Linked DNA regions of Styela clava. The protein of the gene in region 2 purifies or fractionates together with the protein of the main gene of each other region. This does not show direct contact. Links are inferred from orthologs where the notes say so. Each region holds a gene or a part of one and is shown on either strand. Other genes may lie near its edges. The genes, in order: gamma-tubulin complex component 6-like and protein NEDD1-like.

What was found.
Region 1: the proteins of protein NEDD1-like (region 2) and gamma-tubulin complex component 6-like purify together in Homo sapiens (affinity purification with mass spectrometry; 3 studies listed by BioGRID and IntAct, with this or other methods). This does not show direct contact. The link is inferred for Styela clava from reciprocal best matches to the Homo sapiens genes NEDD1 and TUBGCP6.

What each region holds. Positions count from the first base shown.
Region 1 is NC_135256.1:13,675,218-13,691,934, forward strand, and holds the start of gamma-tubulin complex component 6-like, read right to left. Parts: upstream 8,319-16,717; 5' UTR 7,727-8,318; coding exon 7,542-7,726; intron 7,095-7,541; coding exon 6,934-7,094; intron 6,374-6,933; coding exon 6,166-6,373; intron 5,800-6,165; coding exon 5,687-5,799; intron 4,945-5,686; coding exon 4,888-4,944; intron 4,322-4,887; coding exon 4,176-4,321; intron 3,244-4,175; coding exon 3,104-3,243; intron 2,884-3,103; coding exon 2,800-2,883; intron 2,167-2,799; coding exon 1,941-2,166; intron 1,234-1,940; coding exon 1,006-1,233; intron 1-1,005. Other genes in the region: N-acetylneuraminate (7)9-O-acetyltransferase-like, read right to left, coding at 12,580-12,867, 13,280-13,372, 15,394-15,471, 16,491-16,581. UniProt on the Homo sapiens protein: Component of the gamma-tubulin ring complex (gTuRC) which mediates microtubule nucleation.
Region 2 is NC_135253.1:16,886,861-16,903,918, forward strand, and holds protein NEDD1-like, read right to left. Parts: upstream 6,195-17,058; 5' UTR 6,047-6,194; coding exon 4,019-6,046; 3' UTR 2,890-4,018; downstream 1-2,889. Other genes in the region: putative D-lactate dehydrogenase, mitochondrial, read left to right, coding at 513-640, 1,136-1,338, 1,999-2,164. UniProt on the Homo sapiens protein: Required for mitosis progression. Promotes the nucleation of microtubules from the spindle.

The DNA.
Region 1 (16,717 bases), on a different chromosome or scaffold from region 2:
GAAGGACCAGAATTTTTTTTAGTTCTGCATTGCCTATCCAATTTGGTGCTACTATAGTGCAAGCTCTATCACACTATAGCATAATATCTACAAGCTAGGATTACAGCAGGAGGTATTGCCCTGCATTTTCCATACATTTAATTTAGCGATTTATGACATGGGAGACCCTAATGCCAGTGGCGGCGCGTGGTCATTTTGACAACCGGGGCAAGCTACTGCGGGACCAAGTCACCCCCATCTAGGGGGACAGGATGAGCGCTGTAAGTTCTCCCATCATTGTATAAAAACCATTCCATCGGTAACAACCAATCGGCAAAAGCGACAATTTTTAACGATAAGAAAGTGTCTTTAAAACCGGTCCAAGTCAAGGGATTAATAAATATAGACATAGTTTATTTTGAAACCTCTTTCAAAAGGAAAGGCAATATTTACCCAGATAAATACAATGACATATTAACAGAAACTTCGGGAAAGCAGAATATGTCAACACGTTGTTGTATGAAACGTCGGCATTGTGTCGTCATAATTTCGGGGCTAGCCCCGATTATTTAGTAAAAGAAACAGAAAACAAACGAGACAAACGCGGCGAGTGGAAGATAAAAGAGAGAATACGATATACAATGAGCAACCGGGGCAAAATCGGCGTCGCCCCGTCGACGTTCGGCTTTGCGAGCGAAAAATGAACCATGTCGGGAGAATATGGCTAGTGCAGACAGTCTGTGCAACCGATATTGAAGTATTTTTCGAATATTTTTTATTATACCGAAAAAACAACCGGGGCATTGCACCGGTTGGCCCTATTGACGCGCCGAACATGATAAACCGCAGAATGCATAGACGTTGTTACACTATTGCAGCCCCATCTATTACACTGAGGGTGAGGTGGTGAGACATGGGGTTTAGAACTGAGATGTAACCCTTAGTTGAGTCCAACGATATGACCCTTAGACTGGTACGTCCACCACTTTTTATGACCCCACATTGCTTAAAAACATGAAAATTCACCTTAAAAATTACTCCTTTTTCTTTATCATTTCTCGATGAGACAGCTGAAGTGTTAAATAATTGAAAAGGATTTGATGAATGTATTGTTGATACAGACAATGCAGAGAAATGAACCAATCTCCAATAACATGTTCCCCATTCACTGAATTTTGATAGAAGTGAATAAACAGCTTCAGGATCGACACCAGAAAAATATATGTTTTTGTGCGGAATAAACATTTGAGCAAGCTGAAACAAACAAATAGGAACAAATTACTAATTAGTGAAAAATAGATGTTCTTCTGGAAGTACCAAAAAATAGAGCTCAATAACAACATAATACAATCTAGGCAGTGAAAATTCTGATATTTCACATTGTGAACGTACATTGGACACAACATTTTATGCTAATAGGAACTGTAGCCCACCGATTTTAAGTCGAATATAATTTTTGATTTCAAAATGGTGAGATTGTGCAAAATTATGCAAGCACGAGGGAGAATGGAACACAAGTAAGATTACTCTATTTTTTCTAAATAATTGTAAGAAAAAAAATTTTGAATTAGGGAAGCACAGTTGTTCACAGTTCTCCCAATATCAAAACAAGTTTAAATTTTCCAACTGGCAAAACCATTGAGACTGGCCTTTAAAAAAAACTAAGAAATAGATGGAAAAATATAATCAGGGAAATTGTGGAGATCAAACATATCTTCTAGAAGCCGCATTCTACGCAACCTCTATGTGGCCTTCCTAACTATCACTGCGCACATTTTTCCCTTTGTGTGTACACCTCATTTCATGTTAAATCAAAATTAGGTATATCAATGCAAATATCTGCAGGTAACAACAGCAAATGAGAATTGTGATCACAAAAACAATTATTAGGACAAAATTATTTTATCCAAATTTAAATATTTAGATATAAAGTTTTTTGACACTATAAATCTTCAACTTACTCTATTAAATTGAAATGTATCCGATGAAACACCCATCATAACTAATGTGGCTTGTTTAACAAGTTTCGATTCTTCCAGGCATCTGAATTCCAGCGTTGGAAGATTTCCACCATCTAAGAAGTTTGCTAATCTATGAATAACTGAAGCCCGATGTTTCCATATTTCATCAAACATTTTTGGTCCGGCTTCAGTGAGATAGAATTCACGTTTCGTTGATCCAGCGGGTCTAAAATGTAAATTATTTAGCTACCATAATCCATCATTAAACATGAAATCCGTGCACCTAAAACAAAATAATTACCTGACACCGCACCCTGTGTGGGTTCGTTCGCAGGTTTGAATCCAGTGGGGGAAAAGTATGTGCAAGAGTATTGCTGGACTCCACGTCGCCGTAGGGTGGTTTACGTAACCGCCGGTCAGTTAAGTATTCCTCCATCATCAAGTCCATGCATCTGAAACAAACAACTGCCTAACTAACCCCATACCCGACATGAACTGGTAACCAGACGATGAGTCATAGTTCGCTTTCCTCTCTCCCGGGATGAACACAAAATATATTTTAATCTTTGAAAACTGGAAGTGACATTGAATCCTAAATTGGACAGTGGTATATTCCCAAGGGTTTCAATTTCAGATGTCCTAGACGCTGATTCGTTTTGACCAAACTGATAACTTGTGGAGATATCTTACCTTGATTGCCTATTTAGCCTGAATTGTCATAATCCATTACCACTAATAGGTAATCAGGACTTGAATCACATACCAGCATCCAGAGTATGATAAAAGCACTGTTTATTATAACTATGATAAACCAAATAATATTGAAGAAATTTATTATTTCATTGATTGATCAACTCACAAGCCAAGTGTCTCCCATGTCCGATGATTACTTTTCTTTACTTTCAAGCAATCTTTCCAAACATTCAAGTCATAAGTTGGGACTCTGGAAAAAAAAAATTTTTTTTTTACAGTGTTAATGCTATGAGTGACATAACCTAGTCGTAAAAATTCGAACAAGTCAAACTGGGAAAATTCACTGTTCAATACAAGAGAAATTTATTAAACTAGCTAAAATGACTTCTGACATCTTTTTCATCTGAGTGACTGCTTATGCAGACCCCTGTTTTGAGAAGTTCTAAAATCTATATAAAAATGTAAATCACCTGTAGCCATGATAAGGAACAATAGGAGTAGATATTCCGCTGTCAGATTTGTGAGGTGAAAACGATGCTGGATCTTGTTCTAAATCTGAGAAATCAATACTTGATGTTGGTGACACAAATCCTTCGTCTACTGAAGTCATCTGATAATGCACAAAATATATTGTATGTTATGAAATATTCGCCAAAAGCAAGTTTTACATCTGATAAGTTTTTAGCAAAGTTTTGAATTTAATCAGAAAATAGGTGCAAGATAAATCAGGCAGTGTGCTAATCTTGGCTAAGTAACTTGGATTTTTTACCCAATTTTTTTTACATATTTTTATCTTCCATTTTTGTACAAAAATAAACATAATTTACAAAGTTTAGATGATCTACTTGAAAATCGTAAAAAAACAAGTGTAAAGGTACAAGCTACGGCTAGACTGACGGCTACTAAATTGAAAAATACTAATTTTTTGTAACAATCGAATGTTTCAATTGGCATAATGTACAGATATGGAATCATATAATCAATATGAAAGTCAAAGCAGAGAGTCACTGAAAAATCATATTTTTTCTCATTCATTCATTGTTCACGCCGAGTGTGAATAGGAGAATATCGGTCAGAGACCGAAGACTTATCGATCGAAAGTTAGGGGACCCCCAAAACAGCGCTCTTACTCCATAGTGACACCTTGTGTCACTAATCAATTAATAATTCGCTAATTATACTACATAAATCATCCAAAATCAATAGGCTTCTGGTCCGACATATGATGAATGCACATGCAAAATCTGGAGCAGATTCAATATCGCGTGCATCTAACAGACAGACAGACGTACAGAAAGACAGACAAATACCTATCAACATACTTACCGATTAAAATCGATAAGTAATAACCTAAAAAGCTGGAGCACAAGTACAAATCAAGGCATCTGCCATTTGTAACAGTGTCAAATAAATTATGGCAATATTTCAAAATATTAAACCTAAACGTTAGCTGACTGAATTAGAGCAAAATATATTAGGAAAGCATATATTCAAAAAAATTATTTTTGAAAAAAAAAGGATTCAATAAAATCAGTTACATACCGAGGTAGGAAGGGAGGCCATCATATCAATAGGACCCGTGATTGGTGGATATGATAATTTAACATCCAAATCAAAAGTACGACTGTGTCGAAGACCTCCATATAATCGTGTCTGACTGTCAAACTCATATGCTGAATCCGTTAAACCTGAATAGAATTAAATAACGAACATTGAATAAGTAGACAAACTTAATTATGTAAATCTACAAGAATTATCTGGGGATGGATATGTTTAAATTTCACAATGAATGTTTCCCCAATCCTTGGCCCCAGAAATATACTCTCTATACTTTACTATTGTGAAATATTTTTTATATTTATTGTGAAAGTGTTTTGGAGAGTTTGCATGTCTGAAACCATCATTTTTTATCGAAAACTTTCAACCACATTCCTCTTACAGGTACTGATAGCATATTTCAATCCAGTCTATCGCAGCTAATTCGGGACTAATTTTATATTATTGCAACTAAAGCTCCTAGGTAGACATGATGACAGTTAAATTATTTGATTTCAACTATTTTATGGAAACACAACTGAAAACTGACAAATACCACGTAAAACTGCTTGAATATCTTGAGTGAAAGAAGTGAGCGTCTGCGTAAATTGCCATTGTCATGTCATCATTGACTAATTGCTGATTGGTTATTGTTACGGAATTGGTTACGAAAACTACTAAGCAGCAGAAAAACATCACAATATGCTTGATTAAATACCTTTATCAGAGAAAACTTTAGAGTCTAGTCCATACAATCCATTGGGGTTCTTGTTTCCTATAAACGAGTATTAAAATAGATACATTACAACATTACAACAACAACACAGAGTTTCTCAATGTTGGCCCTCGGTTCCCTAGGGTGCTACATAGTGGTTCTATGGGGGCTATTAGCAAATAGATACCATTCGTGACAGCTAACTTAATTTAAAGTACAGAAAATTGAATGTGATTTGCAGAAATCTAAAATACATTTATATCTAACTTTCATTTCCAATTGTTTTTATTATTAAACGTCGCACAAAGATTATATATTAAAATGCATTGAAAGTGCCGTGCCGTAATTCAAAGTAGGCTACAATAAATTGGCAATGATTTGTGGAAATCTTTGTCTGAAATGCATTTTTTTATTACTTTCATTTGTAAAGATTTTTAATATTAAACGCTGCACGAAGATAATATATGGAAATGCACTAAAAGCAAATCGGGTATTTTATTATAACAGCAGGAGACCACAAGCGAATCTTTAGAAAGGAGGGGGGGGGGGGTGAGGGCAGGGGTCACAAATAAGGAAGTTTGAGAAGACTGAACCGAGTATTTTATCTATCCTAACCTAGAACTTAGCATAAATCCTGTTTGGAATACGAACTTGAATCATTTGGCCCAGATTCAAAACTGACCATATACCAGAACGATGATACAATTCTTGGACAACATTTTTAGATAACGGTTGATTTCAAGTTGAATTTCAATAAAACAATATAGAAAGAAGCATACTACCAAATTTTGTTTTAACCCACCTAATTTGTCAGGAAGAAAATATTCTTTTGCATAAAACATATCTTGATCGGTATTCTGACTCCTCTCAGGATATAATAATGGTTGATCGATATTAATATTTGTGGAATACCAACTGAAAAAAGAACTCAATGTTAAATCAGATAACAATTTAAAACACGAGGACAATCCATAATAAATGTATGGACACATAGGTCAAATGATTAATATGATCACTGCAATGTCACAAAATTGAATTTAAACATAAACAAATTCGTACCGAATTGTCAGTGAAATAATAGCGAACTGTTAAAATAAGTTGTATCAAATGTAATATAAGGGTGTGCCCTATATTATTCAAAATAAAATTCGAATGTCCATTAATTGTGGGTGTCCAACAAAAACCACGGTACCAACAACAACAATTTAGCAAAACAATCTATAAATTTAGTCTTGGTAAATAATCTTTCAAATTTTCGAGTGGAATAAAAAGATTCCTTACTCTGGATAAAGTGTGTATGACTGTTGAAATAAATGGTATGGATAATCTCCATGATATAAAGATCCTTTTAATTTTCCAAATTTTTTAATTTCCTCTCGCGTTGGTGCTTTTCTTCTCTTCTTTATATCACAGTGTTTATTCGGAGAATTTCTTGTATCAGCGAGACTTAGAAGAAATCTGATAGAGCTTCTGTGTTCATTTGCTTCAGCTAAAATGTAATATTAGTGTTTTAAAACAATCAATAGAACAGTGGTTCCCAATACTTTATGGCTCGTCGCCTCCTTCTGAAGGCTTTTACCACTCATGTCCCCCTGTTTATCATTCCAGTGGTATTTAGAGTGTTATTTTGATTGGTAGATTTCAAATCCCATCATGTTTAAACAATTCATGCTCTTTAAAGTCCAAAGACCTTGTGAAATGACCTCATTTAGTGATGAAACTAGAAACGGGAAGTTTTATTGTCAAGAGGAGGGTAAATTCAGTTTTGTGCCCAGCATTGTGGCCCCCCCCTCAAACTATTCATGGCCCCCTTTGGGGAGACAAGGGCCCCTGGTTGGGAACCGATGCTCTACAAACTAACTCAATAATGGCCAGACATTGATGGTGAATTTTATCCATGTGTATTCTAAATTTATCCCAAACTCTAGTAGATTTTATAACTTATTTTTACAACTTTGCCTCAAAAAAGCCTAAGTACAGGTAGCTACTTGGATGTAGGGGTACCAACTTAGTAGCAACAAACGTGTCAGAATAGTCTTCTATATTTACCAGCCAATAATTTGTCAGTATGTTCCTCTAATCTGTCTGCATCATGATGCCTTCTTTGATTCATTCTCATTCTAAATGCTACAGCACTCACAATACTTTCTTCATTCCATTGATCAGATGATAAAAGATCTTCAGTGAAAGTCATGACGTCTTTCTTTCTCCTATAACGAAAATATCAAACATATAAATTTTGGGATCAGACTGTATGCTCCCAAGCTTGATTATATAGTATGTCATCATTTGTTTTTCCACTTATATTGCAATTTTTTTGTTTCAGTGACGGGGTTCAAAATGAATTATTTTTATCTATTCATTAGTAGTTGATAGAGAAGCGAAGAATACTAGTCATATACAAGAGGTTAATAGTAAACAGAATTTTCTGAACTGGCACACAAAGACTTTATAGTTGTTCAGGCAACATTTAACCCCTGATTTCATCAAAGGTCAGATACAGCAAACAAAGGATTAGAAAATGGATTATATTTGATGCATATTGGGACTAATGAAGCTTGTTACAAATAAATACTTTATAATCAAATTGATAAACCAGGAACCCACGGAATAAGCAAGCTATTCGAAGGGCCAATCTTTGCACCAAAAATAATTACCTGACAAAAAGTGCATCATACGCAGCCTTTTTCATTGGCTTCAGAAGCTTGCTGAGTGGAACTTTTGGTTTGCAATACTTTGCTTCTCTTGAAACATTTCTCTCCAAGTGAATTGTACACAAGCGTTCAATACTTTGTGTCAGACTCCGCTGGTCTGTTTTTGTATCTCTTACTTTGTGTGACATGATTTTAGTAACAATTACCAGGATTGTAAATTAATATTGTGTTGCAAGACATTATTTATAATCACCAACGATCGTCGATAGATATAATATATCATCTACAGAATGCAATAAAATTTTAGAAACTATTAATTTATTAAGTATGTCACATCCATTGCAATAAATGATGACATATTGGACAGCGGTGAAGATTACAAATAGGAAGGAACCTTCTTTGCAAACATACCGACCCAAGTTCTTATGAAGATCGTCCTAACCAGTTTAACATTGTCCACAATAATAAAGAGAAATCTCTACTATAGGCAAGGTCGTAATCCCTCACCTAAAAGCAAATATGATAGGTAGTTGGAAAGCTCCCACAAGCACTATTAACAATCACATCAATCCACTGCTGCTGCACATTTGTTTGTATCTATCTTTCTAATATTCTGACAGATGCTCATTTATCGCTCCATCCACCCTGTTTGCGAAGTCATTTAATAACATGTTCATTTTGGCCTCCACTTAACACACTTATTTGTTGATATTATTATGGAATTGAGAGATTAGTCAGATGCCGAGGTATCAGAAAAATCGCAAGTAAAAAGCCTGTCAATTTGTAAACTATGTGGGCCTGGATGGAGGTAGGTTCGGCCAATTCCTTTCAGAGTCATAAACCCTGCCATCTAACCAATCATTCAGAGTAGTGTTGTACAAAAAGAACGTTGAAGCTCTGTTGACCTAAAGTTGGAAAAGCGCTCAAAAAGTCTGAATATGGATTAACATTAAACCATAATTGAAACAAACAAATTCTAATAGGAGTGGGACAAAAGCAAGCTATTAAATGCATATTTTTGTTTATTCTCAAATATAAAAGTTTACAAGATAAGTCGTAATTTTCTAAATTATTATCGATGTGATAAATGCAATCCACTGGAAAAGTTAATGTCAATGCGAATGGGAAACTCTCAGTTTATACAAAAAGTGAAATGCTATTCATTTTTTAGTCATATTATACATGTATTATCAATTGTGCAAAAATGCAAAACTTTTAATTAAGCAATATAATAACAATAACAGGACGACTATTCATGTAAAATAATCATACATGCCTCAAAGCTGATTTATATTTCAATACTATTCCCACATTGGAACACAATAAAAATACACATTACAAAGCCACTAGCTTATATTTTAATTTCTTTATCCAGATTATACATACAGACAGACACATTGTGCTAATAAAAACGATGAAAAATTATGAAGGTAGAAAATCACGAAATCAAAGATGTATGTATCACATTGAATTGATAAAGATTGTACAATGCATAGAATAATGAATTCAACAAAATCCAGGATTTTTTTAGAAAAATCTAATATTAGCGAAATAGGTGATACCAAATAAAACTTTTTCTAATCAAGATAACTCTTGAAAATATAAACTATATTTGACTATTTTTTTTTTACTTTAATGATACTTTATCATTAATTTGTTCTTGTTGCTGAAACAATTTATAAATATGAATCTGTAAGTAAAGAAGACATCGGAAGTACAGTCACCTAACATAACATATTCAAAGACTTAGATCATATAAATCTCTTTCGAACACATAAGCAGGCTCTGCGGTCCTGTCTGCAGGTTCATATTCAACGAGTATGCACACCAACACTATATGAAAGCAATACACAGTTAAACTACTGAAAAACTGATAGAAGCAATAGAAAAAACTAATGAAATCATCCAAAAACATTTGAAAATTCATCATAATTTTTCTTATTTTACCATGACCATGCTCTCACATACAGTGATAATTGCTGTACTGTGTTCTAGCAAAGACTGCTATTGGTGAAGAAATAATATATTTCATTTATCTGTGCACACCACACCCAGCTAATATGAAAAAGCATTTGGTGATTATAAAAGGTATTCACAGCATTGATCGAAAAGGGAAAATATTGGTGAAACTAGATATCATGCTTGAGAAAAATAATGTCAAATTCCATGTGATGTTTACCAAAGTAAATATTTATGAAAAAAACATTACTAACAATATTACTTTCTGATGAATCTGTTGAAAAAGAGACGAGAGAACTCAAATGGGTATTGGACACAAAATGAAGGGGACCTATGGACTGTTTTGCTAAATTGTTGTTGATGCTGTTGGCTTGCTTGTCGCTGTTGTTAAGAAAAAATTACTTTTTTACTCTCAAGATGGGAGAAATGCCTTTATTTTTTTTCGAATTTCTTCGGAGTCCTATTAGACCTGATTTTGCTGTTTTATTTGAATTTATGGGAACACTTTTTACATCATAAGGAAACACTTTATTCCTCCACACTTTTCCTGTAGATATCGATTTACTAAGTAAGAATTTTAAAAGTAGATGATATTTTCACTTAGGGTGTAGTTTTTTTTTATTTCTTGTCATTGAGCTTCCCAACTGATACAGGATCAATTAGAACTTTCAGTGGTAGATAAGACTATCTTAACGGATACATTATAAAAAATAATTTCTGATTTTGTACCGTATTATTAAATACTGAATTGAGTCATTCCGCTATTAATGGAATTACAGTGGTGCAACTGACACATTGAATCTCACATATGATTTGAAATTATTACTTCTATTATTCATTCCCAATTTAAGAAGGCAAAAATTAATCAATTAATTAAGATGTTAAAATTACTGGAGCGTTTATGAAAACAGTGAAACAGTTTAATAGTTTCAATTGTAGTGCTTCCTGGCCAGGGCAAAGTCAAATAATTAATTAACACAGAATAATTAGGTGATTACAATTACTTGGCTATTCATCAAAAACAGTGGGACAATTTAATAGATGAGCTTGAGTGTGCTTGTGGTGCTTTATGGCAGAGAAAAAGTAACCAATTAATTAACCCGGTTCAATTAGATAATTATAATTATTATAACTTTTCATAATAAAAAGAGATAATTTTATAAAGGAGCTTCAGTGCGCTTGTGGCACTTTCTGACCAGACAAAAATTAAGTAATTATAAATACATTGGCTGTTCATGATACAATGAGACAACATAGTAATTAGAATTGATTGACTGATGATAAGCAGCCAAATGTTTTCATACCAACACTCAAGTTCTTTCTGAAAAAAAATATTAATTCTTGAAGGTAAGTCTAATGAGTGACATAAGTCTAATGAGTGAAAAATACTTTCGCTTGTTCTGATATCACTATTCAGTAATAATTTTGAAAACATTACATCGAATATAAAAGAAGTATATATGTAATTAACTAGAAAAATAAATATCCGTTGAAAACAATCAATTATTCATATGACAATGCAAAAATAGACAAAAAGCCTGTAAATACGTGCTGTTTAATAATAGCTGTATATAATCAAATACACCTAGTTAAAGTAACAATTCAATGCAATATTAAATAAAATATGAATAATAAAAACAGCGTTATCGATACAAACATAAATTAACAACATTACTAGTGATTACAGTGCAATTACTACTGCACATCTTCCTTCAGTGAAAAAATTAATTTTTGTGCAAGGAAACTAGAACAATAAAAAGTGGATTGTCTCCCTAGCTGCAAAAATTAAAACAATGGCTTCTTATTTGACAATTTCTACTTAATTATTACAGAAAAACAATCTAGATGTAGTTGTCAGATGTATGTCAAAATTTTAAAAATCAGGTGAGACAAAATATAATGTAAAATCGTATTTGGTTTATCAATTTTTACAGTTACTGTAATCTTTAGAAATGAAATATTTATGTTATGGTATGAAAGGCGGATAAATATTTTTTGTGCAAATAAATTACCGATAATGGTTTTAATATAGCGAATTCAAAATTTCAATTTTTAGGTAGGTTTGGGCTCTGAACTGGATACTACGATATTTTAGATGGTTTGCCAGTCTTTTTTTGGAGCCAGAAGTTGGCGTAAAAATCTTCAAACAACCCAGATGATATTTCCCAAAATTGAATTGATAAAAAGTGTAAATGTTTCGTGACCAAAATTTTTTACACAGTGGGTGGGGTGTTGAGCATGGTATTTCAACCTCCTATGCGTAACCCACAATGCCAAAACAGTCTTACAGTCTCGAAACATCAATGGCTGTGAAGCTGGAGCCTCAGTCTGAGTTCACTGCGGCTCCAAATCGTGAACCATAGAATGAAAATAATATTTAACATTTCAACTTAATTCAAATAATGTCGATCACAAATCATTTTATGAAAGAATATAAACAACGAGATAATCTAAGCACACCGTTTGTGTATAAAACTCAAAATAATAAAAATAATGTAAAATCGCAAAATAAAATTTCCGATCGAATAAAGAAAATGCTATAGTTTCTTTATAGTTGATACGAATTGAAAAAATAAAAAAAAAACATAAAAACACTCAAGTACAACTCTTAAATATTAGCCTATTGTTAATGTTGAATATTATTAACTTTGTCTTCAGCATGTAAACAACAAATTCATACGAAAAAAAAACAGTTTACAATCTCTTTTTAAGAAATAAGTAAAATCACCACTATTTCACAGTAATATATTATTATAAGTTTTTTTTCAACCGAATATGAACTTGAATCAGTGGGTCTTAAGCATGAGAAATTTCCCATCCAGAGGAAACCGGAAGTGGTCATCAAATTTTCTTTTCAATAACAGATACAGTGCTCAAATCCGCGTTCATTCCGCATATTTTCAATGTGTCTTTTGAATAATATATACTTCCACCTTACTATCTGTTATTTATAGTTTATTATTAGTTGGTTATTTTTGAGGGTGGGGTGCGAGAATTGACAAATTCTAAAAAGAGGGGGCGGCGTAAAGAGTTTGAAAACCACTGCCGAGATGAGTAGTGTTGTTCTCCGGCATAAACTTCTTCATGTACCACCGAAAGTAGGGGGGTTAAATGTATTATTAATAAATGATATTGCACATACGGATGATACAAATACCGCTAATCGTATTAGAACTTTCATAACCTCATCTTTTGGTGAACCAAGTGCGTGTTTTGTTAAAATACCAGTGATTAGATTGATTTCATGTGCGATGCATACAAAAATAAATGATGTAATGACAAGATTTAATGTCGGCCACTCCGGTGATATGAGAACGAGCATTCCTTTTGTGTCGGCTGCTAACCAAATGTGATATTGTCCGATAAAAAGCTGAAAAATATTAATTTGGAAATGGGTTATGATACTGGAAACTAAAGTATTTGCAGTGAATTACATTTCTATTCTGTGAAAAATATAATTCTCCATAATTATTTCGACAAGCAGATTTTTAATCCAGCCAAATATAGATAGAACTATGATATCCTGTGTAAGGGGAATACAATAAGCTGACACCATGGTTAGTTAATTTGTTGGTTAGGTAAAGTATATCAGTATTTTTCAAAAACTTATTCAAAATAAAATATGCTCTTGTATAATAAAACTTAGTTTTGCTTCAAATATGTTTACATCAGTTATTTCAGATCCCGTAGGTGGGCTAAGAGCCCCGCTTTTTTATAATCCCTGAACTAAAACATCCCCATTTTTTACTGCAAACTTTACAAAATATGTGTACTAATCCTACCTCCAATGATATTTTGCCGAACCAAGCAAAAAATGCACTGTATCCACTTCTTAGATAACCAGGTACATTTCTAATGATGATGAAAGCAGTTATCTGAAAACAAGAAGTCTATAAGTGAACTATAAGAGCAACTATGGATGAATATATTATTTGAATTGGTATAGTTATGCCAAATTCAAATGGGTCTAATCTAGACCCAGGTCCCAGATCTATTGCTCCGGATAGATATTAATAGGATAAAAATTCGCATTCCTTTAGTAGTTGGGTGGACATTAATTGATTATTCAAGCCATATAAATTCTCAACCATTTTTGAATATCTGAGTGTAAATTTTATGCAAATTATGCAATAAATTATGCAAACTATAAAAGCAACTTAGAATGCATGAGGGATTTAAATTGGCATGCCGATTTAAATTCGAAGTGGGTTCATGCTAGACCCAGATCTATTGCTCAGGTATCAATAGCATAAAAATTTGAATTCCTTCAGTAGTTAGAGGAATTATTTGATTATTCAAGCTATAAAAATTCTTAACATTTTTCGATCTTCCAAGTGTGAATTTAATGCAAATTATACAATAAATACAAAAAAGCAGTTCATCAATGACAAAAATAATTCAAAATCTTCATTATTAACAACTTTCAAATTTATGAATGCCAGCTGTATTTTCGCATACAAATCAATACATGAACTAACATACAAAATTTCCACTCATTTAATGTAAAAAAATTTAAATTTCATTATTTACAACTTTCAAATTTATGAATACCAGTTAGGGCTGAGCGTTTGGAAACACTGTTTCGAAACAGTGATATGTCGAAACGGCAGCGTTTCCACCTTCGAAACGGATATTATGACGTCATAGCAAATGCAATCTGAAATTAGTTAAGGTATCATTCAGGGATGTCCAATTCGAATTTATTATCCAATTTTATTCGAATATCGTGACTCTCAAATATCGTTTTTAGTGTTTATAAGAATATTAAATATCGCCCAAACGTCCTAGCGCCGCCGTCCACGTTTTGATTGAAAATTTTTACAATCATTTCATTTTATGTTCTATCGTATTCGAAGACACTCTTTGCGAGGCGCAATAAATTACTGCCGACATAAAAGGATTTAAGTCAGCGCCGACTTGAAGTACTTGTAACACGTCGAGGAAGTTTTTAATTGAAAAAATTTTACAATTAGTATGGTATATTTAAACATAGTCGAGATAGTCTGGGTAACAGCGCAATAAATCTGAAATCAAATCAAATTTAGCTCAACGATGTCGATGTCACGCTGACGATAAACAGTCAGAGTCATAATGAAAATTAGCCGTATCAAAAATCCGAGTTAATATTGATTTTACTGTATAATTTGAACATTCCACCTAGTTGTTCCTTTTTCTGTGCTTGCCAAGATACACCACAAATCATAAATACTGTAATGTTTACCAAGTCTATTTCCTTAGAGCAAAAAAATACCTAATTTAAATCGATAAAAGCCCAATTCCTATGTTCCTGGAGTTTAGAAGGTATTCGGAATTCGGAAGATTCAAAAATATCTTTTTCCAGAATGTATTTGAAATAGTCAGGTACTCGGTTATGGCTCTCCCTGGTATAATTACCACACTGGATCACAAGGATTTGTGGCATCGGATAAAGTAGAAAATGACCCCACCCATTACATTAGATGAGGGCAGGGCCGCATTGAGACTTCGAGAGGCCCCATGCTATGCTGCTTGTGAGCCCCATCTCTAACAATGACGTAATTCGTATTATCCTGGTGCCATTTGGCCTCTGCTTTGTCATTGAGCAGAAACATTCGTGGAATTATCATTTTCGTTTTATCCTCTCGAATTAGCATCCAGTGCTATCCTTTTGTGGATTTAATTGTGGAAAATATATGTCATTATACATTAAATTCAATGGGTAATAATGGTATCATATTTTACTGTTTATGACAAACGTGTGTTTCGATTCGATTTCGTTTCGAAGGAAAAATTTCGTTTCGATTTCGAAACACCAGCGTTTCGAAAATGCCCAGCCCTAATACCAGTTGTGTTTTCCCATACAGATCAATCCATAAACTAAAATAAAAAATTTCCACTTGTTCAAGTAGGTACTTACAGGCAATATTGATGCATAGGAATGGATTCTGTTGCATGTAAACTTATCAGTACATTGTGCTGCCCAAACTGTATAAGTCTGAAATACAAAGGCATGAAATCAATCCTAAATTACAAAATTCTATTATCTAATTGTACATGCTCAAATGAAACTAACAACTGATGAGAGATAATACATATTTAGGTTTAATATAGCTTTACAACCAAATCACTAAAAAAAAAATTCATTATTAGATGAAAATATTTTATACCGGTAGATATTTATTTTAAGAGAATTTGCTATTTGCTAAGAGCAAGGATACACGCACTCACTCGGAGGTAAAGGAGACAGATCTTTCGAGCAAATTTATGGGAGATCACTGAAATTCCAAGCAACTGACCAATTATGATTTGTGATAATGCATTACACATTAAATGCCATTGCAGTGGGACTTGAAGCAATTTGAGTTAATATACTGGAGAAAGCATCTATGGCAGGGGTCGGCAACCTTTTGTCGTTCGCGGGTCAAAATTAAAGGTTGCAAGTCATTGGCGGGCCGCACATGTTTTTAGAAATTTGAAAAATCGAATAGATGACCGATGAATCACATTTTATCACACAGATCAGAAGTTAAATTTTAAGCATCGCGCGAAGACTGACAATTTGAATATTTTTTGCGCCATTAATAAACCATTTGCACTTGGCATCAACTTTTTTGCATTTTGTTGCCATTTGTTTAAATTATAGGCTCATTAAACAAGTAATTGGGAATTACATACTTGTTAGGTTATAATATAATTTATTCTGCATGTAAATTCTCTTGCCTAAAAAATATAATTGACAAAACAGCTATAATTTATTACTATAATTCAGTGAAGAGTCACGGCCCGGATTATATTGCCCCGCGGGCCGTAGGTTTCCGACCTCTGATCTATGGGGTAATATATTCCACATTACTGAAAATTTCGGCAAAAAAATTCTTTGTTAGTAAGGTACTTTAAAAAGAAATAACGAATATGCAAAAATTAGTCAAAACAAATACTAATTTCAAGTTTGAACGTTAGCAATATTGCCCCAAAAAACTGTGTGCAAAACCCAATTAAAGGATGAAAACTTACGACAACTATTCCGATTGATAAAGTCATTGTGATGAAAGATGCTTTAGTTGACAACAAACATCCTTGCTTCGAATCATCCAACACAGACAATCTGGAAAATGAATAAAGTCATAATTGAATTGATTTAATTCAAATTATTTAGGACAACAGGAAGCCAAACTAAATGACTGGGTAGCCAATAAAGCGCTTTCATAACGTGAAAATTAATTACATCACATGATGGGTAT
Region 2 (17,058 bases):
TTTTTTTTTACTCAATATCAATACAGAATGCTTTTTTTGTTAATGGAGGCAGTCCATTCATCACTGATTTTTGACTAGTTCAGTGGGAGAGAAAGAATTACTATATTGTTATGTCATAATTAATATATTTTCAATATCTCAATTTAACATCTAACGTTAGCTGTACTGTCGTTAAATTATTCAAAATACTGAAAAGAAATGGCACGCTTTCTAATGATTTGAATATTACTAAGCCTGGGAATTGAACCAAGGTTTGTCCAATCTGCACTGTCCCGGTTTTTTGTTTCATATATATGGTAAGCCAATATATAGATATACTAGTTCGTTTTTCTACTGGTATTCATTGATGTCAGTTAGGAACTACCCGATTGATTTTAGTGTTCAGACTTTTCCGTTATGAAGCTACATTTTCTGACTGGGCATAAATATTTCAAAATGCTGTGTATGGTGCAAGAGCTTGAAATTCATTGTGACTTAACAAATACCTTATAATAACATTATTTTTTTGTAAGCTGACATCGTTAAAGCAAATAAAGGCTCAAACTTCAGTTGGGCTGAAAGTCAGGAAGAAAGAAATAAATTATGGAAAGCTCGACATGATATTTTGTATGCAATGATTGCATTAGTACCAGGATGTAAGGTATGGAATTTATCTTTCGAGATATTATGGACAAGTTGATCTTCGATATTGTGTTTTCACATTTTCCCCCATGTTTATAAAACTTACTTCTTTTCAAAACCAAGATTCCATTATAATTCAATCATTAATTATTTTTTTATAAATAGCATCGCTTAAACTAAACATTTTTTTTAAATCTATTGAATTGTCTATATTTGGAGTAATGTAAGTGGTGGATATTATACAACTGAAAATTTCAACTATAAATACTACAGGCCATTTATGGAGTCTTCGAAGTTTTTGAATTGCGAAAGGGAATTTATCAATACTATATATACCGGTAGTTTGTTGCCCACTACTGTATCAAATAAAGTAAACCAGGTTAAGATGTATCAAGAATTTGTCTCATAATTATTGTTTTCATTTATCATTCCAAGAGTAACATGAGAGTGACAATTTTTTCATCTGAAATAATCTGCCCAAGATAATATTTAAGAATATCTGTTTCTCATTCAGGCTTACTCAACAGATGTTTGTGTACCAATATCATGCCTCCCTGAAGCAGTTATATTTTCCTCCGAATTGATAGCAAGCAGTGGTCTAACTGCAGGAATAGTTGGTCATGTAGGAGATGGAAATTTTCATTGTTTGATATGCATCGATCCGGATTCACAAGCAGAACAAGAGTTAGTTGTAAAAATCACTAATGAGATTGCACAGTAAGTATTTTAAATAAGCAATCATAATTAGACATGAAGATGTAAACCAACTAGCATAGTACTTATTTCGAATTGCTTTAACGAAGATGAATTATCAGATTCGTTATAATCAAATGCATCATTTAGAACTTGGAATTATATTTTATTGGACACAAATTGGACCTATAGATTGTTTTGGCATATGTTGTTGATGCAGTTAGAATTCTTTTTCTCGTTATGAATAAATCGCTTTCTCTTTAATTGCTTGCCCAATTCCTTGAAATTTTCAGTGGTTAAAGATTATTGTTGTTGCTGGAAGGCTATTCTTTTTATTTATTTATATTTTCTGTGGCCTCGTTGGGATTTGTTTTTTCTGTGCAATGACGTCATCAAAATTATAGCTCTCGATGCTTTCTGGTGGTCAGGCGAAGCCGTGATGACTTTGGTGTCTACTGTAAAATATTAGATACGGCCTTGGTGTCCATATATTTGAGCATTGTTTCTATGCATCTTGATTTTACTCCTGATCGCTTGCCTTCATAGTTCAATGATCTGGCTAAAGTCGTTGCCAGTATGGTTCACCAGAATATTGTGCCAGAACCAAGACGTATTGGTTGACTATACTGACTGGCAAAAATTCTGTAATTGTATTAGACAGTGCAATTTTCTTCCTATTTCCAGGAAAGCATTATCCATGGGAGGAACCTGCACCGGAGAGCATGGAATTGGACTAGGAAAGAAGAAATTGCTGGTGAAAGAGGTTGGAGATGAAGGGATAAATGTGATGAGAACTATAAAGACAGCTTTCGATCCACTTGGCATAATGAATCCTGGAAAAGTGTTATGAATTTGCCATTGCTGTTTAATGTTTTCGCTTAATAACGCTTGCCTCACCCTTTGGCGCTGTACGCTCCTAACAAAAATTAGCAGCAAAAATTCTATTAGCTTCGAACATTACATATTAAACTAATTGCTTTACAATTCTCCAAGAGCATAACTCAGTCTCTGTTGTGAACAGAACTAAACATACAAGGAAGGACCTGTTTGATATGAAATTATAAGTGTGATAGCAATCATGCTCGTAATGATAAGTTTCTTATATGAGTAATAGTGAACAATGACAATTTGATATTTTTCATCAACACACTTGTGCAATCACTGTGATAGTAATCTATCATTTTTTTTTTATTAATGCTTATCATGTGTACACTTTCTGCAATTAAAAAAGCAACTGTGACGATTTTGAGAATCGAGTACTACTGCTCCTGTCAGTTATTTGAGATAAGCTAATGGCGATCATAGTTTCTAGTTTGTCCTCCCAGAGCTTTAGGGATAAATAAGGTTGCGCAACATAGCTGAGAGTTTTGAACTCTTGCTCTTTTAACTGGTTGTTAAATATTCTTATCATCAGTCTTCTATTCAAACTTATAGAAGTTTCTTCATCTTGCAATCTATGATATTTCAGATAATAAATAACTTGAACTTGGTACAAGTTACAATCCTACAATTTAATTTAAGCAACGGGGATTTTTTGATGAATTGAGCAAAAATATCATAATCTGGATCAGAGAAGAGAATGACAAGATTTTATTTAAGTATCCTCGCAAGGCAGAAGTTTGGATCAACTGACTAGCAAAACATTACAGAATACAATTTTTGTATGTTCAAGAACCTTCAACTGTTCAATAAAGGTGTTTTGACTTTTGCTGCAATATTAGGAAGAGCAAAAAAACAGATAAAGATGAGCATTAGTTAGAGGCACGTTACTACAATTAACCATATAGGATAATTAGAATGCACTCGATACACCTTGTTTTTACGAATTAAAAAACTTGCTATCTATATTGAAACGTTATATTTGGTAACAAATAAATCTAGGCAAGCATGCAAGAGTAATATCTGTAACTATCTCGCTACGCCTACTATAGATATCAATTCACAAAAGGCACAGAATATCAACATTGAGATATGCAAGGCACCATATAAACAAAACTTTGGCATCAAGAGTGAACAGCCAGCTGCATCACGACACAATTCTAGTACAAAACCGAGGCAAAAGGCACTTTAACATTCTTCTCAAATAATGTATAGATTAAAAGTTATTTGAATTGGGCATTGTTAATTGAGAAACTATGAATGGTTAGAAAGTTGTATAAACAGTAAATATTATTTAAATAAACAAAGGTCTGTAGACTCCTCACAAAACAATTTTATTTAACCATAACCATTAGCATGGAATTTAACAGAGCTGGGAACATTCATCTGATTTACTTTCATCAAATGTGAACTGTTGCAACATATTGAAAAAATTTAAATTCAGATTTACTCCCCCAGAGGAATAATTCGATTTAGTATAATAACATTGCTAAATTTTTCAAACTCGAATTCAATCAAATGTTCCAATAATTTATATAAATATATATGACGAAAAATTTAATCAGAACATTTTTTATCAGCATTGTGCAATGATTTGCCATATGTCAGATGTTGAATACAACAGACACTACGCTTTGTAAAAAAAAGGAAAACTTTGTGATAAATTGTATAACTCTGAAGGAATTCTGAAAGACACTTTTAGTTTGGCGAAACAATTCCAATCATAGTTGGGTTTGGTTCTTGCACAAGTCGATTGTCGAATTACTTTTTTTACACCTGGCTGTTTTGTCATTTAATTCGATAACAGAAGCAAGGTACCCCATACTTAATACTTTCTTCGCAATCTATCATTTTCAATACGCAATCTTTCAATTTCTTGTAATAGGAGAGGATTTACAGATGACTGCTCAGCAAGTTGCCTTATTCTCTCATTTTGTTCCGCAAACATTTTAATCAATTGCAAATGCAAATGTCTTAGTTCATCACGAATGTTATCTTCATGTTCTTCCACCATCTCTCGTACAGTGTTTTGTAAAAAATCGAGCTGATATTGAAAAGGATTTGATTGAATATAGTCTGGTTGTTGATGGGGTGTTGACGACGCATCGGTGACTGCACCACCATTTACAAAATCATTTAAAGTGGAATCCTCACTCTGCGGTCGGAATTTCCCAGAAGCATTTTCGCTGGTTGGACTGAGAGAGGAATTCGATGCTGTTGCGCCATTAACTGATATCGCTGATGCACTGTTCATAAGAGGAGTTGAATGATTTACCCTTGTATCACTCCGTGAGCCTCTGCCCAGCTGTCCACTGATGCTACCCCGAGCTGTGCTCTCCTCTTCTCTAGTGAATGGAGTATGAGCTTTATTTATTTCCCCATTTTGTTCTGAGGGCAAACGATTAGCAGAGTTTCTTGTAATAGGATGAATGAAACCAGAGTTTGGAAGCAAAGACCCCCTGCTTGTCCTTTGTGGTTTGTTTTGACTGTGGTATGCAGGGGTGAATGCTGCATCATCTTGTATGCTATCATTCACACTAGCAACAGGAGAGAATATTCCCTCACAGTACGAGCCCATAGTGTCTCTTCGAATTGATGCAACACTTCGATTTGCAGGAGTTTGAAGACCTATATTTTTTTCAAGTTGGCTATTCCTACCAGGTATGATTTTATTGGTAGGACTAATAATACCATCACCATTTATCGGTTTTATCTCATTGGATGAAACTTCAATATCAGGAACTTTGTTTGACCAGGATCTTCTGTTCTTTGCGTGATCTTGTGGTGACTTAGCATTGCTTTTGAATTTTTCTGATGCTGAAGGCTTCAGTTCATCCTTTTGTTGTGTATCTTTTTTTTGTGTTTTCTGCCCAGACTGTTTAGAAGAACTAGATCTCGATGTCCTTGAGCTTTTTCGAAGATATTTTTGTTTACTTGTTTGTGAAACAAGCCTTTGTATTGAGGTTGAGTGGGCGTGAATACTGTATAAAGGTTCTTCGGCTTTCCTTAAATCATATTTATAAATGTTCCCCATGGAGCTTCCTGCACATACATGGACACCATTACTTAAAAAACATACTGCAGTCAATGGTTGACTACTGTTTATAGTTTTAACAACATTATTACCCTGAATGTCATAAAATATAACCTTTTTGTCCAATCCACACGATGAGAGTAGTAAATGATTCAAAGGGGAAAACGATAAATCCATTGCAGGGGCATCATGAGATGTAAATACATGTTTCGTCGCTTGTTTTTCAGTATTCCAGATATGAACAGCCCCATCGTCTGATGTTGTACCCAATGTAGTTGTCACCCACGGTGACTGTTCCAATCCACGTACAGACTGAGGTTTAGATGCTTTTAATTTTGTACAAACAGAACCAGATTCTATTTTCCATACAATAATTTCCCCTGCAGCACATGCAGAAACTACTTTGTCTTCAGCTATTTTATCAATACGTTTGACTGGTGACTGATGGCACTCATTGAAAGTCTTCACTCTCTTTCCAGTTTTGCAATTCCATAAATTTATATCCCCTGTGGTGCCACCAGAAAATAGAGAGGAGCCACTGTGTCCAAAACAAACAGAAGTTTGTTCAGTGCTTTCAGAGAGTTCTCGATAGTTTATATTATTATTTCCTCCACTGCTTGCCCAATCATACAAGACAATACCTCCAGTTGTGGATACACTTGCCAGTTCAGTATTATCATAATTCCATGCAACATCTTTAAAGTTTGAACCAGATGAAGAATCATGGCAATTATACTGCCTTAATGTTCTCATATGTTCTGCATCCCATACCTTGACACTGTCACTTGCTGACACAAACATTGAGACTGAATCTTGCATGTTCAAATCTTTTCCATTGGATGTGTTAAAATTTTTGAAAAATCATCCCTGGTTCATTTAAACATGGTTGAGAGTCATATAGACATATTACTATTATTAATTATACAATGCTATAGAAATTTAAAACATGATATAGCCTAAATGTATAAATTCCACAAATTTCAATTCTGATATAACATAAAAATCAACTACTGTAAATGCTTTATTCCTCATTTTTGTAGTTATGTGTACAATGAAAGCAAACTTTTGCCGCTTTATTTTCATGAGTTCGTTAACATTTAATAACTGATCAATGTCAACAACGTTTAAAGAAAATCTGTATAAGTTACCGTACATATCATTCAGTCATTCCCACATTCTCACTGTCTCAACAAGAATTAATAAAGACTTGCATATCTAGCCTACTTATAAACTTATGCCAAATTTGTTAAAAAATTTATACAAATATATTTAATGCGCATGCAACATGGAGACAGACCGAGTTAATAATACAGTGTTAAATTCCTTCTCTCCAATAATACACCTAAATTTTGAATTCGATAACAAATTTCAGAATTTGGATTCAATTCACAGATTCATACAGACGTATAAACTTGTTGACTTGCCTTACCCCTCTACCGGTAGTCTACCCAGTTACCAGTACGTACCCGACTAGGGTATCTATAAACCTAGTCAGATCCTTCTGATTTTTTTCATGCATCTAAAACAAATAATTGGCTAACTAATCCTTTACCATAGCCTACCGGACGTGGACTGATAACGGGACAAAAGCCATGGTACGGTACCGGTACGCCATATGATTAAGTCGTCTTATCGACTTTCATTACCCCGGGATAAATACGAACTTTCAGACTTTTACAATCTCGGTTATGCGAACCGAAGGGACTATAACACTTTATTTGACGTGAACCAAGCACCAACTGAGGCGGGAATATGGCGGCAAATGTCCCAGACCGGTAGCTGTCGCCATGGCACAGGAATAAGTCACCAAATGACTCACTATTATGTTGTTGTTGTTCTTGCTCTTCTTATTCTTGATGTTCTTGTTCTTTGACACGTTTTAAAAAAATCGCTATTCTCTTTAATTACTGGACCAATTGTTTTGAAATTTTTAGTAGTTAAAGCTGGATTTTATTTGTAGAAGGCTTTTACTTTTATCAATTTCAGATATTCCTGTGAGCTTCATGGGATTTGTCTTTATTTTGAGCTATGACATGGGTCACATAATCGCTGGCAATAGACAATAAGTTTATTTCGTCGTGCAAGAAAACACAATACAAATTCAAAATAGGAAAAAAATAAATATGCGTTACAGTAACGGATTTCATTGCAGTTGACTGGAAGTCGCGAAGGACCAAAAATGGTCATCATAAGTCTGCGACACCAAGATTGAAAACAAGTCAATATTAAAAATTGAAATAAATGAAAGAATAAACACAAATATAAACTTATCCATTCAATAATTAATCAACAAGGTTGATATAAATCAGTATATATGATTTGGGAGAGAAAGTAAAAATAAAAGTCGGGGAAATTCAATTGATATATTACTATAAAATGCGAGTAAATGTGATAAAATTGTACAAGTACATGAAGGCATGATTCCAATGAAATTTGTATATTGCTTGAATTCATTGAATGCTTTATCACAGTAAATAGTAGTTTTAGAACAATAACAATATTATTGTAGCTCTCTAACATTCCCATGATAATAACAACGTGCAAGTGTGGAGTGTCTAACTCTTTTTCATGAATCATCAACAAAATATTAATATTAATATTGGAATCATGCCCTCATGTACTTGTACAATTTTATCACATTTACTCGCATTTTATAGTAATAAATAAAAACAGTTACTTTTTAATATAATTTCATGGTAATGGCGAAGTAGCTGAATTAGGACATAACCCGAGCTTGTAAAAAATCATTCTTTACAATTTTAATTGTCAATGTCATATCTATGAATTTGCTTAATCGGATAAACAGTTGTTGAAAATCTAATTTGCATTTTTATGCCACCAGCATAAAGGTATCAAATTATTAGTTCTAAGTCTCATTTAGTTTCGAAACACTGCTGTGCTGTTTGTGCTGTTTTAAAACCGCACCAATATATATCAGTTTTGTATGTAATTAGCTACATTGTATTGATAGTTTTGAACAATTAAATGTCAAACTTCAAGATAAATAAATATTTTGTTGATGGTTCATGACAAAAAGTTAGACACTCCACACTTGGACGTTGTTATTATCATGGGAATGTTAGACTGCTACAATAATATTGTTATTGTTTTAAAACTACTATTTACTGTGATAAAGCATTCAATGAATTCAAGCAATATACAAATTTCATTGCCTGTGGTGTGCTAATTATAAATAGTTATGTTATTTCGCTGACACTACAAAATTCATTTTTATAAAAAACGCAAAAACTTCATGTCAGTCATATTTCAGAAACAACTACGGATCGATAAATGTGTGAGAGAGAGAGAGATTTATTGTTTTGTCAACCGTAAACGTGTAATCTTGAAGAAAAAAAAATTTGTTTGTAAACTGAAGTCAGCTTTGACATTCTACAGTCTTTATTTATATGCCCAAGCCTGATATGTATTGGTGGAAAAAATTCCCCACGAAACTCTTTAATATGGACGACTATCTCGTGTAAACGGATATATCTCGATAAAATTTTCTATAAATTACAAAATCGAATTAATTGGACGGTGTTTTTAGCTTTATTTGACAGCACAGATCAGATAACAGGCATGTGGAATGTCAAATCAATTATAACTTCTATTTTTCACATATATATCATATCGTCACGCTAATAACCGAATTGCGTAAGTCATTTTTAGCAGTTTTGAGAAAAACGTAAAAAACTTCCTAATAATATTGTTGTGCCATCGAGAGTCCATAATTTGCCATGGTTCAATTTTTTGATCGTAGCCGGATTTAATTTAATTTGTCTGACGCAGTTATGTGACGTCATAATGGCGCACTGTGACTTAGGCAGAAATGTGGGTATGGCTTGGGGACATACGCAATTTTGCAACTTGACTATATGCACCAGTCCTGAAAACCAAACAATCCAAAAACGAATTTAATTCCCAGTATCTACGATGTCTAATCCCCCAAATTGCTGATCTGTTTCAGGTACATTTTTTTATGTTTAAAAATATATATTTCATCAATAAAACACGCTCTGCAAACCCACCGAAATTAGACTTAGATTAAAAATAAAGAATAAAACAGCAATGCATCCAATATAAAAGCCAACCAAGGTGAATTGGACTCGGACAGTGAATATCACAAGTGCATACCTCCCTATACTATAGAATAAATTCAGATTTATAAGCGCTAAACTAGAATCTGAGATGCAAAAACTAGAAAATTTTTCGGCGAGGTTATTTTGCCTTTGTGACGTCACAGTAGTCCTGCGGTAACAACGATAATTCATTATGACGAAACAATTGCACAAATGTGCATGTCATACAAAATCTCCATTTTTATGGGTTTCGGAATTCCTAACAGACAGGTAGGTGCGCAGCATTACATAAATACCTATTTTATAAAAAAAAAACTCAAAACCGCCAAAAATGACTTACGCAATTCGGTTATTAGCTTGACGACATGTGGATTTAAACGGTATCATGAAATGTTAATACATCACATATATACGTTCAAATATATATATATATATATATCCGTACCGCGCCGTTAGATGATGCGAACTGATAGAAAGGGGAAAGAAAACAAAAACCGGAAGGGAATGGAATGAGACAACAAACAACAGGACCGTGGTGTTCCTCGTAATCCGGAACCTCGTTACCGGCTAGCGTTTCCTTATGGATATCCGTGGCACATAGGGATTAGATTAGAGAAATCTGCTGTCCACGAGTGTTTGATATGGCGACTTTAACACAATATTATCGACAAATTAACAAATTTCTCTTGAGATTGTTTCAATGATACTATGCTTCTCTTTGCAATTTGCGTTTATGGATCGTATTTTATCCAATTTAGGAATTCTAACGTTAATCCGTATAGGACGCGTATTTGACTCCATGCAGCGTTGTCCAATGCGTGAAAATACAATCCAAGTAAAATTACATTAATGTAAGTCAATGTAGGTACTCTTCGTCTATTTATCCACACACAGGCTATAAATACTGCTCATTTCGTCACGACTCACAGTGTCATGCTACGAATAAACTGGAATCATGCCCTCATGTACTTGCACAATTTTATCACATTTACTCGCATTTTATAGTAATAAATGGAAACAGTTACTTTTAAATATAATTCCATGGTAATGGCGAAGTATCTGACTTAATTAAAACATAACCCGAGCTTGTGAAAAATCATTCTCTACCATTTTAATTGCCATTATCTTATCTATGAATTCGCTTATTCGGATAAACAGTCGTTGAGATTTTGAGATCTATTTTGCATTTTTATACCACCAGCATAAAGGTATCAAATTATTAATTCTAAGATATATTCAAAGTAATTTAATGCCATTGTATCAAAACATAATAAATTTGTGGACGCAAAATATGTAACCAAATATATAACCATATTACAGAATCTTGAGAATATATGTACGGAAATTTTCGTACGTGTTGCTATGATTTTTTGCGAACAGTTTTAGCATTTTGATTTATTATTTTTTGTTTCATTATTCCGCTGAAATTACCCCCTCACAGAAGTAAACTGGCATGACAAAAGTTAGTTTCATACTTGACTACAATAGCACAAGTTTGAGTGTCGCATACATACGCTGTCACAGCTTTTGTATTTGTTCATCGTAAAATTCCATCAATTCCATCCTTATTTCATCCATTGTTCAATGCCATATTTCAGATTGTAAACAACATCTTCCCAAAATGTGAATAATTTAAAATCGCTCAGAGACCCATTTGTGAAATTTAGTAACAATTGTCCTTTCAATCAAATATCATTGGTTGGTTGATGGGAAATTTTGCAGCATGGTTGAATACTTTACATGCCTATGTACTATAATTATGTATGCTTGCAAGTAAGCTCGCGTGCACAATATGCAATGGTATGTGCGCGTGCAGTACATGCATGATGCGCATGCTCAGTGCGCCTTGCCAGAGATCACGTGATCTTAAAACGCAGGCTGAGCTGCGGTTGGCGCATTTATAACTAAAACAACTAAGACCGCGTAGCTCGACAAAATGGCGCTAGTGATAAAGGACAGATTTTTTTTCATTTTTCAGTAATTTGGGTACTTTTTGTTTATTGTATTTTGTTAAGAAGAGTTACAGTTTATTTACATCATTCGGGTTGAACTAAGCGTACAAAACAACTAGCTCAATTCTATGACACGAATTTGGTGACGACCCGCGATATGATTTATAAAGATGACTATATAGTCACGTCGTGACATTTGCAGACTTCCCTATGAGCTCACAGAATAGTTGAGTTTACAAATAAGACTTTTTGTCTTTCTTACGGACAAAAAAGGCAATGAAAATGTACCAGTATTGGTGGGCAATTTAGGAAGGAAAAGATTAGAGAATACAGGATTTTCATTTTCCGTTTTCAAAAGCTTATGAAAACGGGATATCCTATATTACAGACCTGACCGCTTTTCATGCACAGATTGTTTGTTTACTATGTTGGGGAAATCTTGTATATTCATGAAGTATTTCATACACAATCTAGCCTGCCTAGAAGTTTCGTTTTAAACGACCGGGATTTCCTAATTTTTCCCAGTTAAATTATTATTTCATTTTGTAATTGTTTTATAAATAGATGTCATAAAGTCATTTATCCACAAATTTAGCTTAAAGTGTTCGGACTGTTTATTAGATCCCTCCACTTTTATCTTTATATTTAAATTTTCTGATAGATTGTTCAACGCTCGCCAGAATATGCAAATCAGGTTCATGAAATGAAATAAGAAATTTAAATCTATCAATTTCAAATTATAGACTGTTTGTTGTCCATAGGCGATAACTAAATAAATTGCATATGAATTTGTGTTTAAATAAGACTTAATTTAAAGTACAATATTAAATATTACGATCATAAAATAGTTGTGATATGTCGGAGGTATTTTACAGCTGTAATGTTGTAACACCAAGCAGAATTAGAATTTGTATCTCAATACTAATTATGATTTCAATAACCACAACGTAAAAATGATACTATGGATACAGAATTTAATTCAATAAAAAATGATATAGAACATTGATATTTCAAAATTTTACCGTTTTTTTCGTTCACTAAAAATTCCCCATACACTATTATATTTGTAGATGTTTTTCAATTATCGAATCTTGTAATTTATTAGAAAGCTTCCAAAGGAAAATTACTGTTAAATTTCTGTTTCAGAAAATACAAATATGCGTGGCAAAATTAAGTACGCGGCAATCATAAGACTTTTCCCTGTTGGTGTGTACCTATTTATGTTTCAAAGGCAAACACGCGCTTCTAAATGGCTTCGAAACCGAAAAAGTAAGCGAGCACGTGTTCTATTTGATGACTGAAATACTCGTTTTGGTCATGAGGCTAGCCAGCTGTGCAACAAAGTGAGTTAGTTAGGCGTGGTGTGAGAAGAGAGAAATACTCTTGGGGCAATCTCATCATCTCTAGATGAAACAAAATTGTAGGGAACACAATAGCTTTACGTTGTTTCCCCACTAAGTACCTATAAGTTATTAATTGCATTCACAATGACAATTGAAAAACAAAATTTGTGTTGTTTCCGCGATGTACTACCGCATTATCTACCTCATTTCCAATTGTCTTGCGTATAGGAATGCATCGGGTATCCGTATTATCGTATCATTGTCGTAGGACCACTGAAAACAATTTTCCTATTAAAAAGACTGCATTCATTGCAAAAATGTTCCCTAACGCGACTTTTTCGATCGTTCAAACCGATTATAACTGATGATATATTTTAACTTAGTCGAACAAGTTATTTCGACAACTGAATCTTTAAATATAGCAATATTAAATTGGAAATTTTCATTTCTTCCTGCAGTTTTCCAAATTGAGTAAAATGCAAAATAGATGGCCGAATGTTGGATTCACAATTCATAAAAAGGTGTTTATCACTGACTCCACACACAAAAATATGGAAATAAATCTGTTTTTCTATATTAAATACCAACAAAACTTTCAGCATGCCGAAAATGTAATCACTATAAATAAAACGCGTATAATAGGGTAAATATAAACATTCAATAACCGCAAATGTTCACAGTTCTTCAATTCAGCTTTTGATTAATATTACATCATTGACTAGAAAAACGCAAAGTCCAGTTTGAATTGGATTGGACTCAATTAAAAACACGGGGTCCAGAAGGTACAAACACATTTATTTTTAATTAATGTCCGCATTGGCATGAATATTTTCGAGCTATTTTAAATTAGACGACAGACCGGGTATGTTATTTTTTCCAAAACTGATGAAGATCAGACAAATTTTGAAATTTCATTTGCCCATAATATATGGAGAAAACTCGTGAGTCGCTATTTTTCTATTTTCATTTCTAGTTTTTTGCAAACAACTCAATATATACATTCATGTATTTGGAAGTATCATGTATAAATTTTATGAAATCTCGAGGGTTAAGGATTAAGAATTTATATGCTTTAAAATCAATGCTATACTATTTACCACCTCTTTGGTGCATAAAATTATGATCTCGTTTTACATCGTAAGGCCTGTGTGTAGTGGATTAAAAGTTGAAAAATTGTTGTGTCGCAACGGGCGAGTGTGGGCTGGGGATTAACGTGATATGTGAGTAGGATAACGCACCATACAGAAACAGACTGGGCTTATTACATTATGGCGCTTAGTACAAAAGAGAAAAAGGTTCCAGGCTATGCTACCTTTTCTTTTTCTCTTTTGTTTAACTAAGTAAAGTATTTAACTCGGCCGGTGTTTTCTATCCGGAATTATTATAATGGTGACAAGGAAAGGGATAGTGTAATATACTTGATTAGATCCGTCCGCTTTTTATTAAGAGAGGAAAAGCAGTCTATTGAGTAAGAAAAATATGACAAAGTAATGAATTTTAATACTTCTGTTTTTGTTTTATCTTTAATGAAGCAGTTAGACAAATATACTCTGTACATCTTGTGATTTCCGTTTAATCGAAGCAAACCTATTGGCCACGTCAACATTAGGGAATTTAAAATTTCCGAAAATTGATTGCATATTGAAGAAAAGCAGAAAAAAAATACTCAAATACAAATTTTGGTTTAAAGGAAGAAAATATCTTCAAGGTATGTAGCAAACTTGATGTAACATTCGCAATCAAAAAATTTAAAATAGTTCATTTTCGAATCCCGATCAGTTTTATTATGTTGGATATTCTGTTGCTCGTTCAACATATAGTGTACATGTTATAGTGTAATATGTATAAAGACAAACAGGCCAAGAGTAATATCTCAAAATAGTAACATACTTTATGCATTTGCTACCAATGTTAAAAATAGATTAGGTTGGAAAATTTGAACAAGTTTAGTCTTGTCGAACGCAATTGATTAGATTTGAAAAATTTCAGGAAATAGAATATAATTTCCTTTTCCTGCTCACGTGTCACTATATGGTTAACAAATGAGCCTTTGAGTTCCGGGCGTGTGCGTGGTGTCTTGAATGCCTAAATCTCGCTGCTGTATTAAGCCGCAGATTAATTCCAATACATATACAGTCTATACATAAATAAGGTGCTTTTTGGGAGCACTTTTCATCAACAATTCTCCTACTGCACAAGGCATAATACAGTCAGTAATAATGTTAGAAGTGGGTCATATTAGGTACAGTTATAAGTGCTGCTGCTTCTATTCTATTGAATTGTCAAAAATGCTTGTTATGTGTTTGGATTCCATTTTTTGGTAACAGTTTACAATAGAATATATAAAACACGATTTCGGTAGTGATTTTTGATTATAACAGGATGAAGGAACATGTACATTAGCGAAAATAAGGCATCAGAAATAGTTCAAAAATCTTTAAATTAACATAAATCATAACAATCAGATAAAGCATTTAGAAGATTGATTGGCACTGATGTGTCGCGTCTATTTTTTGCGTGGGCCAACATAATGCTTTGTCCACGAGTCACAATAAAAATGCAGAAGGCGTGTGCGAAGCTTATGCGCAAGCGTCTCGAAGCGCTTCTAGGGCGCATGCGACTTCCGGTTTAAAATTCGTTATACATTAATCAAATTCGTTCGACAATTTTTGGCATGCTTTCAGAGCGATATGTTGAGCAGCATCATATCGATTTCCAAATTAAAAATATTTTCACCATTGTGAACGGAGGTGGGTACATCCACCACTAATTTTCCACGTTATTCCAATACTGAAAAAAAAATTCGAACAATTTTTAGCAGCTGTTAAATTGAAGAGAAATATACATCTGATTAAAATCACAACCCAGACTGAATTGACAAAAGGATGCAACTCATTTTTTCTATCTGTCACTCACTAAGCTAAGGTAACATTGGCGGCAAGGTACTGAATTCCGTAAAGTGGAATAGAGGATTCAATTCTACTTTTATATGAATTTGCCGGAAATTACTGAGTTTCCTCGATTCGAATTTACTATAGTGTTAGTAAACACTGCCGCAAATTCATCGCATTTTGTTGAAGTACTTCCATAATTTCCGAAGTGCGAAGTCTTGGGCCTAGGCCGGTTATCATCTATATGCGAATGGTATGGAGGAAACGCTTCTGAATTCAGTCAAAAACCGTCTATGATATACTTCAGTGTTTACTTGTGTTTAAAATATTTAATGTACCCCCCCCGCTTAAGAAAATTTATTTTGTACAATTAATAAAATGTTTGTGCTTTCGAAAAGTTTCCAGTCATGCAAAACATTTAAAAATGCAAAGGTTAAATTGTTTGTGTGCAGCAGTTTTGTTGTTAATTCCTATTTCGCCTTGATAATTGATAATATATTTATATATAATAGTGTGGATTTCACAAGTATAATGACGGGTGCCATTAAAAAATGGCAACAACACTGGCAAAACTTTCCAAACGCATCCACAAGCACTTCCTCCAATACGTGGAATTGACTTTTCGTAATTGTTCTGCCCTAACTACAGTTATAGTTCCCGGTTTGACACATTCAAAATTTTCCCGCGATATTGTCGCTTGAATTGTTTAGTTAAAACGTTGGGTTTGGATAAAAATATTCACTACACACTTCTCGTGTACATATGGAAAACATCTGCGTGGAACTGGCTAGAGAACAAGCCGTGATTAAGTTTACAAGTTTTTTTCCAAAAAGAAGTCAAATCGATTGGGTAGATCGAGCGAGAATTGTTGTTCCCTTCCAAACTTTTATCTTGAAATCAAGCACAACAACATTCTGTTAAAATCTAAGGTTTGGCAATGTTTACCGAGTTATAAAATTACTTTACATTGGGATCCAGCGTTTTAAATTCAACGGACCCTACAAAATCATTATCACGCATGTACAATTTTTACGGACAATTTTGTCGATATCATAAAACCGTTCCCCATAATTTGAATCATACGTATTCAAAGTAAGCATCTATATCCTTCATTTCGACAACACATATACCACGATTTGGAAAATCGACGGTTCTACAGTATTGTTTACTAAACATAAACTGTATGAATATTGTTATCTTTTGAGGTTATGTTAAGCTGAACGTGAAAAGGAAAAAAAATGATGCCAGTGGTTATAATTTCAACTTTGGATGCCCGCGTGTACCTTGTATAATATAAATCGTATCATAACGAATTATTATTTATGAAATGGGCGAAGTAATAGGCCGAAGTACACTAGCACATGCACGCGCTACTGCATGGCAACCGCAGTCTGAGCGGTGTAGTAATCCGCCGATGCAGGAAACAGCGTCATATCCTGAATCGGGCAGCGAACAATCCAACGCAGGCTGTAACGCAATGGCAAGCCGTTCACTCACTAGCTGTTTGTTATTCAGTGTTTTATAATAATTTGTCCCGATCTCAAAATACCGTGTGGGCGACCGCTA